Xenopus tropicalis: one gene and its partner. The protein of the gene in region 2 purifies or fractionates together with the protein of the main gene of each other region. This does not show direct contact. Links are inferred from orthologs where the notes say so. Each region holds a gene or a part of one and is shown on either strand. Other genes may lie near its edges.

What was found. The genes of interacting proteins can lie anywhere in the genome.
Region 1: the proteins of copg2 (region 2) and cope purify together in Homo sapiens (affinity purification with mass spectrometry; 5 studies listed by BioGRID and IntAct, with this or other methods). This does not show direct contact. The link is inferred for Xenopus tropicalis from reciprocal best matches to the Homo sapiens genes COPG2 and COPE.

The regions. Positions count from the first base shown.
Region 1 is NC_030677.2:112,614,273-112,620,841, forward strand, and holds the start of cope (coatomer subunit epsilon), read right to left. Parts: upstream 3,639-6,569; 5' UTR 3,597-3,638; coding exon 3,498-3,596; intron 3,266-3,497; coding exon 3,203-3,265; intron 2,420-3,202; coding exon 2,319-2,419; intron 1-2,318. Other genes in the region: probable ATP-dependent RNA helicase DDX49, read left to right, coding at 3,798-3,912, 4,863-4,986, 5,632-5,717. UniProt on the Homo sapiens protein: The coatomer is a cytosolic protein complex that binds to dilysine motifs and reversibly associates with Golgi non-clathrin-coated vesicles, which further mediate biosynthetic protein transport from the ER, via the Golgi up to the trans Golgi network.
Region 2 is NC_030679.2:86,708,324-86,714,273, reverse strand, and holds part of copg2 (coatomer subunit gamma-2), read right to left. Parts: intron 5,944-5,950; coding exon 5,755-5,943; intron 5,405-5,754; coding exon 5,309-5,404; intron 2,121-5,308; coding exon 1,877-2,120; intron 1,238-1,876; coding exon 1,162-1,237; intron 748-1,161; coding exon 644-747; intron 1-643. UniProt on the Homo sapiens protein: The coatomer is a cytosolic protein complex that binds to dilysine motifs and reversibly associates with Golgi non-clathrin-coated vesicles, which further mediate biosynthetic protein transport from the ER, via the Golgi up to the trans Golgi network.

The DNA of each region.
Region 1 (6,569 bases), on a different chromosome or scaffold from region 2:
AGGACTACTTATTCTATTAAGACGTTTAGAATTTACAACAGTGCATGTGGCCACTCTACATGACTGAACATGGGGAGTAGTTGTACCTGAGTTTCTTTTGCGCTCACTAGAGAGAAATTTAAAATATTCATTTTAGACTGGTATAACTTAGCACTATAATCCAAGTATTATCAAGAATATACATTTGCTTCAGAATGTATATCTAAAATACCTACATTTAAAGGAGAAAAAAGGTAAAACTACTGGGGAGTGGCAAGTTGCCTATTACCCTGAGTGAGTGTATGTGTAGTACAGAAATTCTTTGTTGACTGGGGAAAAAAAAAAAAAACAAAACACTCCACAGTGGTTTTAATCTTTCCTTCTCTTTTAGATATCTTTTATCATTTCACTAAGGGAGGGCTACATTTTTTCTTTGAATTGTGACAGATCAACTATTTGTTACAGACCTATCCTTTCTAGAAAAGCTGTGAACCTATAGTATGTATGATAAAAACTAAACTAGTTCATTAATTAGTCTTCAACAGTCTGTTATCCTAAATTTATAATATAGTCTATCCATCAATATTTCGAGATATCTCTGCAGCTGATTTTAATTTATTCATTTTTGTTTCTGAATTACTTAATATTTTATTCTTTAGCTCTCGATTTTGGAATTTTAGCTTTTATCTCATTATTAAGTTACCACTTAAAGTGCCTATAGAAAGAAACACTTGCTACCAACTATTCCACTTCTGAGCAAGTCAGCAGCCCAACTGGCCCGTGTTTAGGTCAAAAATATTGCCTTTCCAGATCAAAATCTGATTAAAGGACAAGGAAAGGCTGAGTCACTTGGGGGTGCCAAAATGTTAGGCACCCCCAAGTGACTTTAATTGCTTACCTTGTACCCCGGGCTGGTGCCCCTGTTAGGAGAAAACAGCACCAGCCCGGGGTACCTGTAGCGAGCGGTTCCTCCTTCCTTTTGCCGGGACCCCACGACCGGCGCATGCGCAGTAGATTAAAAATTCAACTTCTCTGTTAAAGTTCAGCTTTTTCACTCGACTGCTCATGCACAAACACGCGAAGCAGGAAGCGCTGCAGCTACCCCGGGCTGGTGCTGTTCTCCCCGAACAGGGGCACCAGCCCGGGGTAAAAGGTAGGCGATTTAAGTCACTTGGGGGTGCCTAACATTTTGGCACCCCCAAGTGACTTTGCCTTTCCTTGTCCTTTAAGCTTGGTCAGATATAATACCCAGATTTCTCATTTACTTACTACACTGATAAATCTAATAGTCAGTTATACAGCACAACCCATTAGGGGAGCCTACGGTAGTGTATGAAAGTTAAAAGCAGATGTATCAACACTTGCAGAAGGCACATACTGAAAAAAGTGTCCTCCACTCAAAAAAATAATCATTAAGAAGAAAAGTCACATAACTTATCCTGATGCATCAAGCTAAGCTGATGTAATGTTTCTTCTAATTAGTAAATTAAGTTTATATGAGCCTGGCCTATGATATAGATTTTTGTTCTTGCCCTCTACAAGTTTGGTATATGCCCTCCCCAATCTGAAGACTCTGAAAAGCCAACCTGTTTACTATTTGTGGTTGGATCTCCCCTAAAAGTTTTAGGGAATGATTTAATAAAATTTTTTTTTTTTCTGGACTTGAAAGTAGTATAAACTCGACATGGTTTAAATTCTAATTAAACTCGAATTAAACTTGATCATTGTTGTATTTATAAAATGGGAGTTATTTTCGACAAACTCAAATTTATCAGGGAAAATTTCTGAAAAACTAGAATTTTTCGAGAAACAATATCAGAAAAATCGAGCACTGGCAAAAACCCATTCGTAAATCTCAACAGAAGTAAAAAAAAAAAAAACAAAAATCAACTGTTTCTTAAAATGTCTTAGTAAATGTGCCCCCTAAAGTTAATATATTTATAGGGAGTGCAATGGTTCTAGACCTCATTTCTTGAAACCCAAATGATCACATCTGGTAACCGTTTTAGTTGTATAGGGTCAAGCGAGTTTCTGGTAGTAGCCATATGCCAGTTGTTCTGGTGAGAGCCACAGAGTGGGACAATATAACGGAGAGGCATAGGGCCAGATTTATCAAAATGGGAGTTCAAAGATTTATACATAAAAATTCACCCATGTTCTTTTCATTCCTATGGGATTTTTAGAAGCATATTTATCAAAAGGTGAGTTCTAACTTTAGCCCATTGATAAATATGCTTCTAAAAATCCCATAGGAATGAATAAAAAGTGAATTTTTCTGTAGTGAGCTCTAATCTCAAATTTTGATAAATCTGCCCCCTGGAGATGTAGAATGCACATACCTGCGACTCTCATTGGACAGATACTCTGCAAACATTCGGACAGCCTGTAATTCAGGGTTGGTATTTGGCCGAATTTCATCAAGAACAACCCCATACTTGCGCTGCATGTGGAAAATAAAAGGTCATAAGACCAGGAAGAAATAAGAAGCTTCTTTTACTTAGTTATAAGTGCAGGAGGAAATAAAAAGCTTATTTTACTTATAGGTATAAGTGCAGGAGGAAATAAAAAGCTTATTTTACTTATAGGTATAAGTGCAGGAGGAAATAAAAAGCTTCTTTTACTTATAGGTATACGTGCAGGAGGAAATAAAAAGCCTTTTTTACTTATAGGTATAAGTGCAGGAGGAAATAAAAAGCTTCTTTTACTTATAGGTATACGTGCAGGAGGAAATAAAAAGCCTTTTTTACTTATAGGTATAAGTGCAGGAGGAAACAGAAAGCTTTTTTTACTTATAGGTATAAGTGCAGGAGGAAATAAAAAGCTTCTTTTACTTATAGGTATAAGTGCAGGAGGAAATAAAAAGCTTCTTTTACTTATAGGTATAAGTGCAGGAGGAAATAAAAAGCTTCTTTTACTTATAGGTATAAGTGCAGGAGGAAACAGAAAGCTTTTTTTACTTATAGGTATAAGTGCAGGAGGAAATAAAAAGCTTTTTTTACTTATAGGTATAAGTGCAGGAGGAAATAAAAAGCTTCTTTTACTTATAGGTATAAGTGCAGGAGGAAATAAAAAGCTTCTTTTACTTATAGGTATAAGTGCAGGAGGAAATAAAAAGCTTCTTTTACTTATAGGTATACGTGCAGGAGGAAAAAAGGCTACATTCACAATACTAATGACAGCTGGGTGAGAATAATGTATGATTATAATACAGAGTCTCTCTCACCTGGGCTATATATGCTCTGAACAGGAAAACGTCTCTCTCCACCTCCTTCTCTGGACTTGAAGGCTGTAAAATAAAATATTCCCACGTTACTATTTGATTATCCATCTTACCTCAGATTGTTAGCATGAGAAAAATAATAGATGTTATTGTGCCTGATTCAGTCATGCATGCTGTCGTTATATTTGTTCAATACGTATGCCCAATTTAAAAAGATTGCTGCTATGTCCACTATCCATATCCCTTCAGCCATAACTCCACGCCTCTCTGACCCAGTTTGCTGTAATCGTTAAATCACCTTTACTCTTTGCGCCTCATTAATGCACTGCTGGTAACTTCCAATATAGAAAGAATTCTTCACATCAAATAACTCGTCCACCTCTCCCTGTGCAGCCATTTCTGTATATCCCGGACACGTCAGCCGGCCAGCTTCCACAACTTCCGCCTTCCTTTACCGACTTCCGCCTCTCAGCTAAAGGCATGGCGGGAGATGTAGTACCAAAGGTCAGTTCCCGTAAGGACCAATAGAAGGGCGAGTTGTGTGACGCATTAGTTTGTGCGCCGGAATGTGCTGCTAGTGGCTATCACGCGTGTCAAGATGGAAGGGTTTTCGAGGCTTGGGTTGTCTTCCTGGCTTATCGATCAATGTAGCCAACTGGGCATATTGAAACCTAGTCCTGTACAGGAGAATTGCATCCCGCCCATCCTGGAAGGTGAGATTAGTGAATGCGAATATGATTCTTCGCGATTAAGGGGGCAGATTATCTGAGTTGTCCAGGGTGAGCAAGTCATCTACATAAGTGTTACAAATCATCTGAAAAACCAGTGATCAAAAGGTAAATGGCATAACTATATGTTAAAGGAAAGCAGCGCTAAATTTGCGGGAACCCTAACATTTAGGAGTAAGATTTAATTTAAATGTATTAATCTTCTTTTTTGTCACTGTCCCACTGGTCCCCTTTTACCTTCTGGCCCCCCGGCAGTCTCTTGAAGCGTCAGTTTCCTCCATAGTTACATTCCTATTTATAAATATATTGTGCACAGTTTTGCTTGTACCTAAGTTCGATTCATAATAATTGCATTCATCTAAAGGACATGTAAACCCCACACACAAAAATTTAATCAGTGAACAGCCTCTTTGAAATCTTTCAATACCTGCCACTCTGCTTGTCCAGAGGTTAATAGTAAGGCTGCAACATCCCCTTAATCACTTAGATTTCCTTCTCCTCCTGTAACCCACTCGCCCCCCCCCCCTTGGGAATTTGCTTTGATTCCTGCCTTGCCAGACATGCTCAGTTGTACTAAACTCAGATTACAAAATACGCCCTCCAGTCTAGCAGCCAGTGAAGAGATGGCATTGCTGGTTCCCATAGAAACTCAGCTCTAGCTGTCTGCTTCAATTTTTTCTCCTAACTTTCTCTCCTGAGCTCAGCTCAAACAAAGCAGAACGTTTATCAGACAGTTCTGCCTCTGTGAGCCTGTATTATTGATGAAATGTATGCTGAATAAGGGTCTGCGTGTGTATGCTGTTTGCAGATTTAAATGTATCTGATTATGTATCAGAGGAAAAAAGCCACCTGGTAAAAGGTCAACTATCCATTAACATCTGCACAGAAAATGTATTGTATTTTGTTGAGAACTCATGAAGTTGATGTCCTGTTAGGCCGAGACTGCATGGGATGTGCAAAGACTGGCAGTGGAAAAACAGCTGCCTTTGTGCTGCCTATTCTCCAAAAACTCTCTGAGGATCCCTTTGGAATATTTTGCCTGGTTCTGACACCAACTCGGTGAGTACAGATGCTATTATAATAGTTATTGTATAATTTTCTCATTAAAGAGAAAAAAAGTAATATTGTGGTAGAGCAAAAATTATGGTCTTTCCCTACAATGAACAACAGATGACTTCACAGTTTAGCTTCAGATATTTTACATGATTTTTTTTAGTAGACAAAGTAATATCTAATAATAATGATATGTAGCCCCTGTTAACCTTTGTAAGGTTTTACAGGTCTTTAACACAGGGATACTGAGACATAAAGGCATAGATTTCAAAGAGGGAGGAAAACATTGTAGAAAGATTCTTAAGAAAAAAAAATCTACACATGTATGTATGTATATATTGTTGCTTTGTGAATAATTCTTAACATCCAGTGCACAGCTATAGCCAGTTGTCATTCGTGCATAATCTAAACATAAGTTGCCGGTCTTTAAATTTAGCTTTATCTTCCTCTAGCAAATGTTTGAAATGGATTACAAATGTCAAGTATATTTAGAAAATACAGACTAATTTGTCGTCAGATTAAAACTGTGGTCACTTGTAGACAAATATGTTAAAGATAGAGATCTTTACGAGACCAAAAAAGAGAAACATTTACCAGCAATATTTTTTATATTTCTCTTTATAAGATTTTTTTTTTAAATTTTATTCTCAGAGAACTCGCATATCAGATTGCAGAACAATTTCGGGTCCTAGGGAAGCCACTGGGCTTGAAGGATTGCATTATTGTTGGTGGAATGGGTATGTATCCTGGCTTATCCAGTTGTAGCAAATGTATGAAATATGGTAATGTCTTTACATAAGGTCCAAGAAGGAACTGATCCATAAAAGTAAACTATATAACTGTAGTAGCTAGGGATGCACCAAACCCACTGTTTTGGCTCTGACCGAACCCACCCTGACAGATTCTGCCTAATCCCAAACTGAATCTGAATCCTAATTAGCATTGGGAAGGGTTAAAAGTTGGTACACGCTACAATTTGGCGTGCCCCTACCGTTTAACCCTTTCCGAATGCTAATTTGCACCTACTATTGAGGGAGCAGAATCCAGCCTTTTTTTGATGATTCGGTTTCAGCCGATTCCATGGTCCCGGACGTACCGAATCCAAACTAGCTAGTTCGGATTCGTTACGTCCGGGACCGTGGAATCGGCTGAAACGGAATCATCAAAAAAAGGCTGGATTCTGGTCCCTCAATAGTAGGTGAGACACACCTCTGTGCATTTTGCATCCATTATACATACCACAAATACTGTAAACATATATCACAATTTAGCAATGATTTTGTATGCATGTTGTTTGGGTTTTAGCATAAGTACAGGAAGCCAGAGTGACATTTTTTAATGTTCAGCAGAATATGGATTAGATAATCTAAATGGCTGTTACTTCCGTGAGAACACTGCTTTTGTTCTAAATCTGTCTTTTTCCTTTAAAAGGGTACAGTCATTGTCCAGAGCCCTAGTTAGGTAAAACAAAAGCTCAGCAACCTATAGTTCTTTTGCTGTTGCTAAAGTGTGGTTATCAGCTTCCCACAACTGCCAAGAGAGATCATGGGATTCTGACATGTAGTTTAACAATAGGTGAAAAAAATCAT
Region 2 (5,950 bases):
GGCAAGATTTGCATCCTGACAATATCTTGTTTATGTGCCAGAATGGGGGACCGAATGCCCAGGATACAAAATTAGATGGCGAGGAGTGTGGGGGAATGTGAGGAGTGACATCTAAGAAGTTCTGAATGGAAAGCTAAAGTAACTGTCTGCTCAATATATGAGTGGCAGCTGGGATTTTTAAATGCTTTTATTATGGGTATGAATGTTAATAAAAAATGAATTTAGGTTTCATGTTTAATTTGAAAAGGACTTTTATTATACAGTTTTTATGTCTGGGTGACAGGTCCCCTTTAACCTGTCTGGCATAAAGATGGGACAGAAAGGGAAAGGTGATACTGAAGAGTAATTATGTCCATCAGATAAAGCTAATATTCGTTTTCTAATTTTCAGAATAGTTTGCCATGATGGTTTAACAGTTAAATTAAATCCACTAATGAAGACTGTTAGTTTTGATGACCACAGAACACAGGAAACTAGACTACCATAATGCATTTGACAGACCTAAAAAAGAGCAGATGTAATAAAATAAAATTAAAAATGTGTCAGCCTTATATAACCACCAGGAAATAAATAAAATAAATCATTAAAAATGTAAGATAGATACGAATATGCAAATGACAGATTTATTTACTTTGCTACTAACCATTGAAAATGTAGGCAGTATTAAGTGCTAGTTGGTTTTGGTTTAATACATTGAAGTAAAATGTTGCTCTGTCTCGCACCTCATCATCACTGTCCATCATGCACCTGGAAGGCAGGCAGAATACAATGCTAATATTTAGCAATATTTTCCAAAATGTTAAACAAAGATGCTGGCTAACTGTATTTTGGAATCTATCAGTGATCACATGCTTAAATGATCTTTACAGAATACGAAGTTTAGGCATATTCTTAGAGGGATCCATGGAAATTTGAAAAGCAGGAAGAGCAACAATCACATCATGATTATTTTATTTTGCTTTATTATAGTTACAGGCACAGTAACACTAGAATTTTCTGTTAAAAATGCATTTCTAACCCATACCACAATAGCTCTATGTGCACCAAGTACATTAGGTGAAATTACTTATTATATATACCTTCAATCTGGCCCAGTACAATTTGTCTTATAATATGAACAATTCAAAATGCTAGCGTATACCATGTCCCAAAATGCACTACCTTTGAAGAAGTACCAAAACACTTGGTAGAAGAGGTTCGTTTTGGGCACCAAATTTAGCCAAAGCACTGACCGCCGCTATAAGGAAAAAAATAAAAACAAGAGATCATTAGCAAAGCTACGTACACCATCATATTGCTGTAAGGCAGTGATCCCCAACTAGTGACTGGGGGGCAACATGTTGCTCCCAGTGGCCTCAAAGTAGGTGTCCATTTTTACATTTCTGGCTTGAAGACAAGTTTTGGAAGCACAGAGACACTTCTCTGTTTTACTCAAAGCAGAGCCTCTTGCAGACCAGCAGTCCACATGGGGCTACCAAATAACCACAGTCCTTATTTAAAATCCCCAAAGAGCTTTTTTCAAGCTTGTGTGGCTCACCAACACCTTTTACATCTGAGTGTGGCTCAGAAGTTTGGGAAAATGGAACTTCAATAGTTAAAGGTTAACATTAAAAATAAGTGCCTCGGTTTACAAATAATAAATGTAAAGCAGCCTTCAGTAATCTAGATGTTAACGATTCAAATTACCCCAAACCCTACTGCACTGGAGTTCTGGAGGTATATCTCTGCAACATCCTAATAAGTAGTTTAAGTTTACTATAGCCGTAGTTTAAGTGTAATATAGCTACTATTAAGTTATGTTTACTAATAAATAATTGAGGTTATTACTTAAGCAAAGAAAAAAGGAAGAAAGAAAAAATAATGGTGGTATTCTTACCTGCTCTGACGGCTTCATTCTCTAATACCACCCTGTTAAAGATGAAACGAATGTACTTGGAGGGTGTGGGTGTTTTTGGCCCTTCTCTTCCCAAAAGATGCAGAATCTTGGTAGCCAGAACTGTGTGCTCACAGTCCTCAATAAATTCACACAGGTGAGCAAGGCCAGATTCTTTGCTGTCTGGGTTCTCTTCTATGATGCTAATAATGCAGTCCACAATGGCACGCTTGTATTCAAAACCTCCCTGCATATGAGAGTGTGTGTAGTTTAGCATACTTGAGCATTTTGAGCTAGGAACAAGACACTATTTAAACAGAAAATTAATTATCTTATGGCCATTTACTAATTTTTTTTTTAAAGAGAACTAGTTCTACTGGCAAGAATTGCCAAGTAAATCTATGACTAACAATTAACACCCCAAATCACCTATGGATAGACAAGAGGTAGTAATGTGTCTATTTATGCCCGTGCATGTATTAGAACCCAACAATCCCAACAAATATCCATGTGCTATGGATGTTGGTCAGATACTTGGTTGCGCATGTTTGTAAACAGGCTGGGCTGAACAGTGTATGGCCTCATTTACTATGAAGCGAAATACACTGCTCAAAAAAAATAAAGGGAACAGAAAAATAAGACATCCTAGATCTGAATGAAATATTCTTATTAAATACTTCGTTCTTTATCTAGTTGAATGTGCTGACAACAAAATTATCAATGGAAATCAAATTTATCAACCAATGGAGGTCTGGATTTGGAGTCACTCTCAAAATTAAAGTGGAAAAAAACGCTACAGGCTGATCCAACTTTGATGTAATGTCCTTAAAACAAGTCAAAATGAGGCTCAGTAGTGTGTGTGGCCTCCGTGTGCCTATATGACCTTCCTACAACGCCTGGGCATGATGAGGTGGCGGATGGTCTCCTGAGGGATCCCCTCCCAGACCTGGTCTAAAGCATCCACCAACTCCTGGACAGTCTGTGGTGCAACGTGGCATTGGTGGATGGAGGGAGACATGATATCCCAGATGTGCTCAATTGGATTCAGGTCTGGGGAACAGTAGGGCCAGTCCATAGCATCAATGCCTTCATCTTGCAGGAACTGCTGACACACTCCAGCCACATGAGGTCTAGCACTGTCTTGCATCAGGAGGAACCCAGGGCCAACCGCACCAGCATATTGGTCTCACAAAGGGTCTGAGGATCTCACCTCACTACCTAATGGCAGTCAGGCTACCTCTGGCGAGCACATGGAGGGCTATGCTGCCCCCACAAAGAAATGCCACCCTACACCATTACTGACCCACTGCCAAACCAGTCATGCTGGAGGATGTTGCAGGCAGCAAAATGTTCTCCACGGTGTCTCCAGACTCTGTCACGTCTGTCACATGTGCTCAGTGTGAACCTGCTTTCATCTGTGAAGAGCACAGGGCGCCAGTGGCGAATTTGCCAATCTTGGTGTTCTCTGGCAAATGCCAAACGTCTTGCACAGTGTTGGGTTGTAAGCACAACCCCTACCTGTGAACGTCGGGCCCTCATACCACCCTCAAGGAGTCTGTTTCTGACCGTTTGAGCAGACACATGCACATTTGTGGCCCTCTGGAGGTCATTTTGCAGGGCTCTGGCAGTGCTCCTCCTGTTCCTCCTTGCACAAAGGTGGAGGTAGCGGTCCTGCTGCTGGGTTGTTGCCTTCCTATAGCCTCCTCCACGTCTCCTGATGTACTGGCCTGTCTCCTGGTAGCGCCTCCATGCTCTGGACACTATGCCGACAGACACAGCAAGCCTTCTTGCCACAGCTCGCATTGATGTGCCATCCTGGATGAGCTGCACTACCTGAGCCATTAGTGTGGGTTGTAGACTCTGTCTCATGCTACCACTAGAGTGAAAGCACCACCAGCATTCAAAAGTCATTGAAACATCAGCCAGAAAGCATAAGAACTGAGAAGTGGTCTGTGGTCACCACCTGCAGAACCACTCCTTTATTGGGGATGTCTTGCTAATTGCCTATAATTTCCACCTGTTGTCTATTACATTTGCACAACAGCATGTGAAATTAATTGTCAATCAGTGTTGCTACCTAAGTGGACAGTTTGATTTCACAAAAGTGTGACTGACTTGGAGTTACATTTTGTTGTTTAAGTGTTCCCTTTATTTTTTTGAGCAGTGTATATACAGTATGTTTATAATATATTGTGGGCTATTCTACTTCTAAGAACACCAAAGGGTTTTGTTAACTATTGTTAACTAGTTTACAAGCAGTGCTCGTAGGTACCACTTGTAAAAAGTTAATAGTAGTTAATAAAGCCCCTTAGATTTAATAAATTATTTTCCTCTTTGAAACAATTGCCTAGATCATAAAACCCTTGTGCAAATCGCAGATGGAGAGCAACAATTTAGACAATTATTCCAACATGGACCAGTGCTGTGTACAAACACCCATTGAAAATTCCTGTGTTTGACTGCTCATACGAGACACAAATTGGCACATCAATATACTTTGATTAATGTATAAATCCAGAAATCTTTTCTTGAGTCAGAAAAGTACTGTTAAATTGCAGAAAAGGTCACAGCAGAGAAACCCATTTTTAGTCTATAAACTAGTCAGAGGTCCAAACTGTCTGAATTGATCACACACTGCATATACCATCAGATCCTTTTTGTTTACTTGAAATATGATTTCTGACCAGAATTTTCAACCCAGCCAAACTATAGCATTCAATAAGTTATCAATTCATCAGTTTGCCAGGCCTCCAGTGACCTAGCCAACTGACATATGCTCTGATCTGTGCATTTATCTGTCTATTAGGCCATCTATATGAAGTTAAATTGGTACTGGATTGGTCACATAGGGGATTTTATACAATATATGCCACCCTTAGTACAGAGAATTTTAATATCAGTAATTAACAATGAAATGAAAGTATTTTGAAAATATACAAATATAAAATCATATGTACATAATCCATATTTACAATTCTGCATCATTATAACACACATAATATCAATCTATTTGGCATATCAGGGTAACACCAACAGAGGATACTTTGGGTACTATAAGCATTACGACTTTAAGCAACCCCAAAAAATGCCTTGCCAAACTGCCCAACCCTATGGATGAAAATGGATAGTTATCAGATTAAAAGCACTCCATATGCCATTACCCATTATCTTCAGGTAAAAATGGACACCAGTCCTTCAAGGTTAACCTTACATGGGCCCCTAATAATACTGATTATTAGAAAGATAAAACCCCTTGAGAGTTATATCCCAACTCAGCCACAAATTGAGAAAATAAATGCCAAACTCATTCAATTCTGCATCTTGCCTTACCCTACCAAAAGTGGCATGTTAAACATTAAAACATGAGGTAGGAAGACAAGATTTACTACAATTAATAAATTAACATTAAAAAAACATGTGCACATGTGTACTTACGTCATCCCTGAGCATGTTGGAAAGGAACGTCATCATTACGCTGTGCTTGCGTGGGTACTTCTGACATAAGGCACTGATTGCTTGTACAACTACCACCTGCAATTATATAGTGCAATCAGTACGTATGGCAAAATGTTATCAACAGAGTGTACTGTCAAGCATCCTCTAGCAAATATTTTACATTTTTCATAAATATGGAAAAATATGATCTGCTGGGAAAATGCCTTCCCTACAGCACTCCAAGTGGTTATTCACAGAAGGGGATGTTGCAGCTGTTTTCTATGGAAAAAGTTCAGATATTACTTGGGGGAGGCAAATTTTGTCAATTTAAAAGGAAGTCCCACTTAAGAAATGGGCATATTTTTGTTTATTTTTGAAAAAAAAATAACATTTTATACATGTATATTTTTTTATTGTCAAAAGATCAGAGTGCAGAACAGTCTTACTTTAAACTCATCTGAGATCTCAGAGACAAAGGTGGAGATTTGTTTCATTAGTCGATCAACACTGCTTTCGCTGCCGGTTTTCAGCAGTGTTGTGATGGCCAGCGTGGCAATACTGCGGTTGGAATCTGTGATCAAATTTTCAAGGTCTAGGTTACATGCAGTAACTGCAGATGGATGTTTCATTGCAACCTATTAA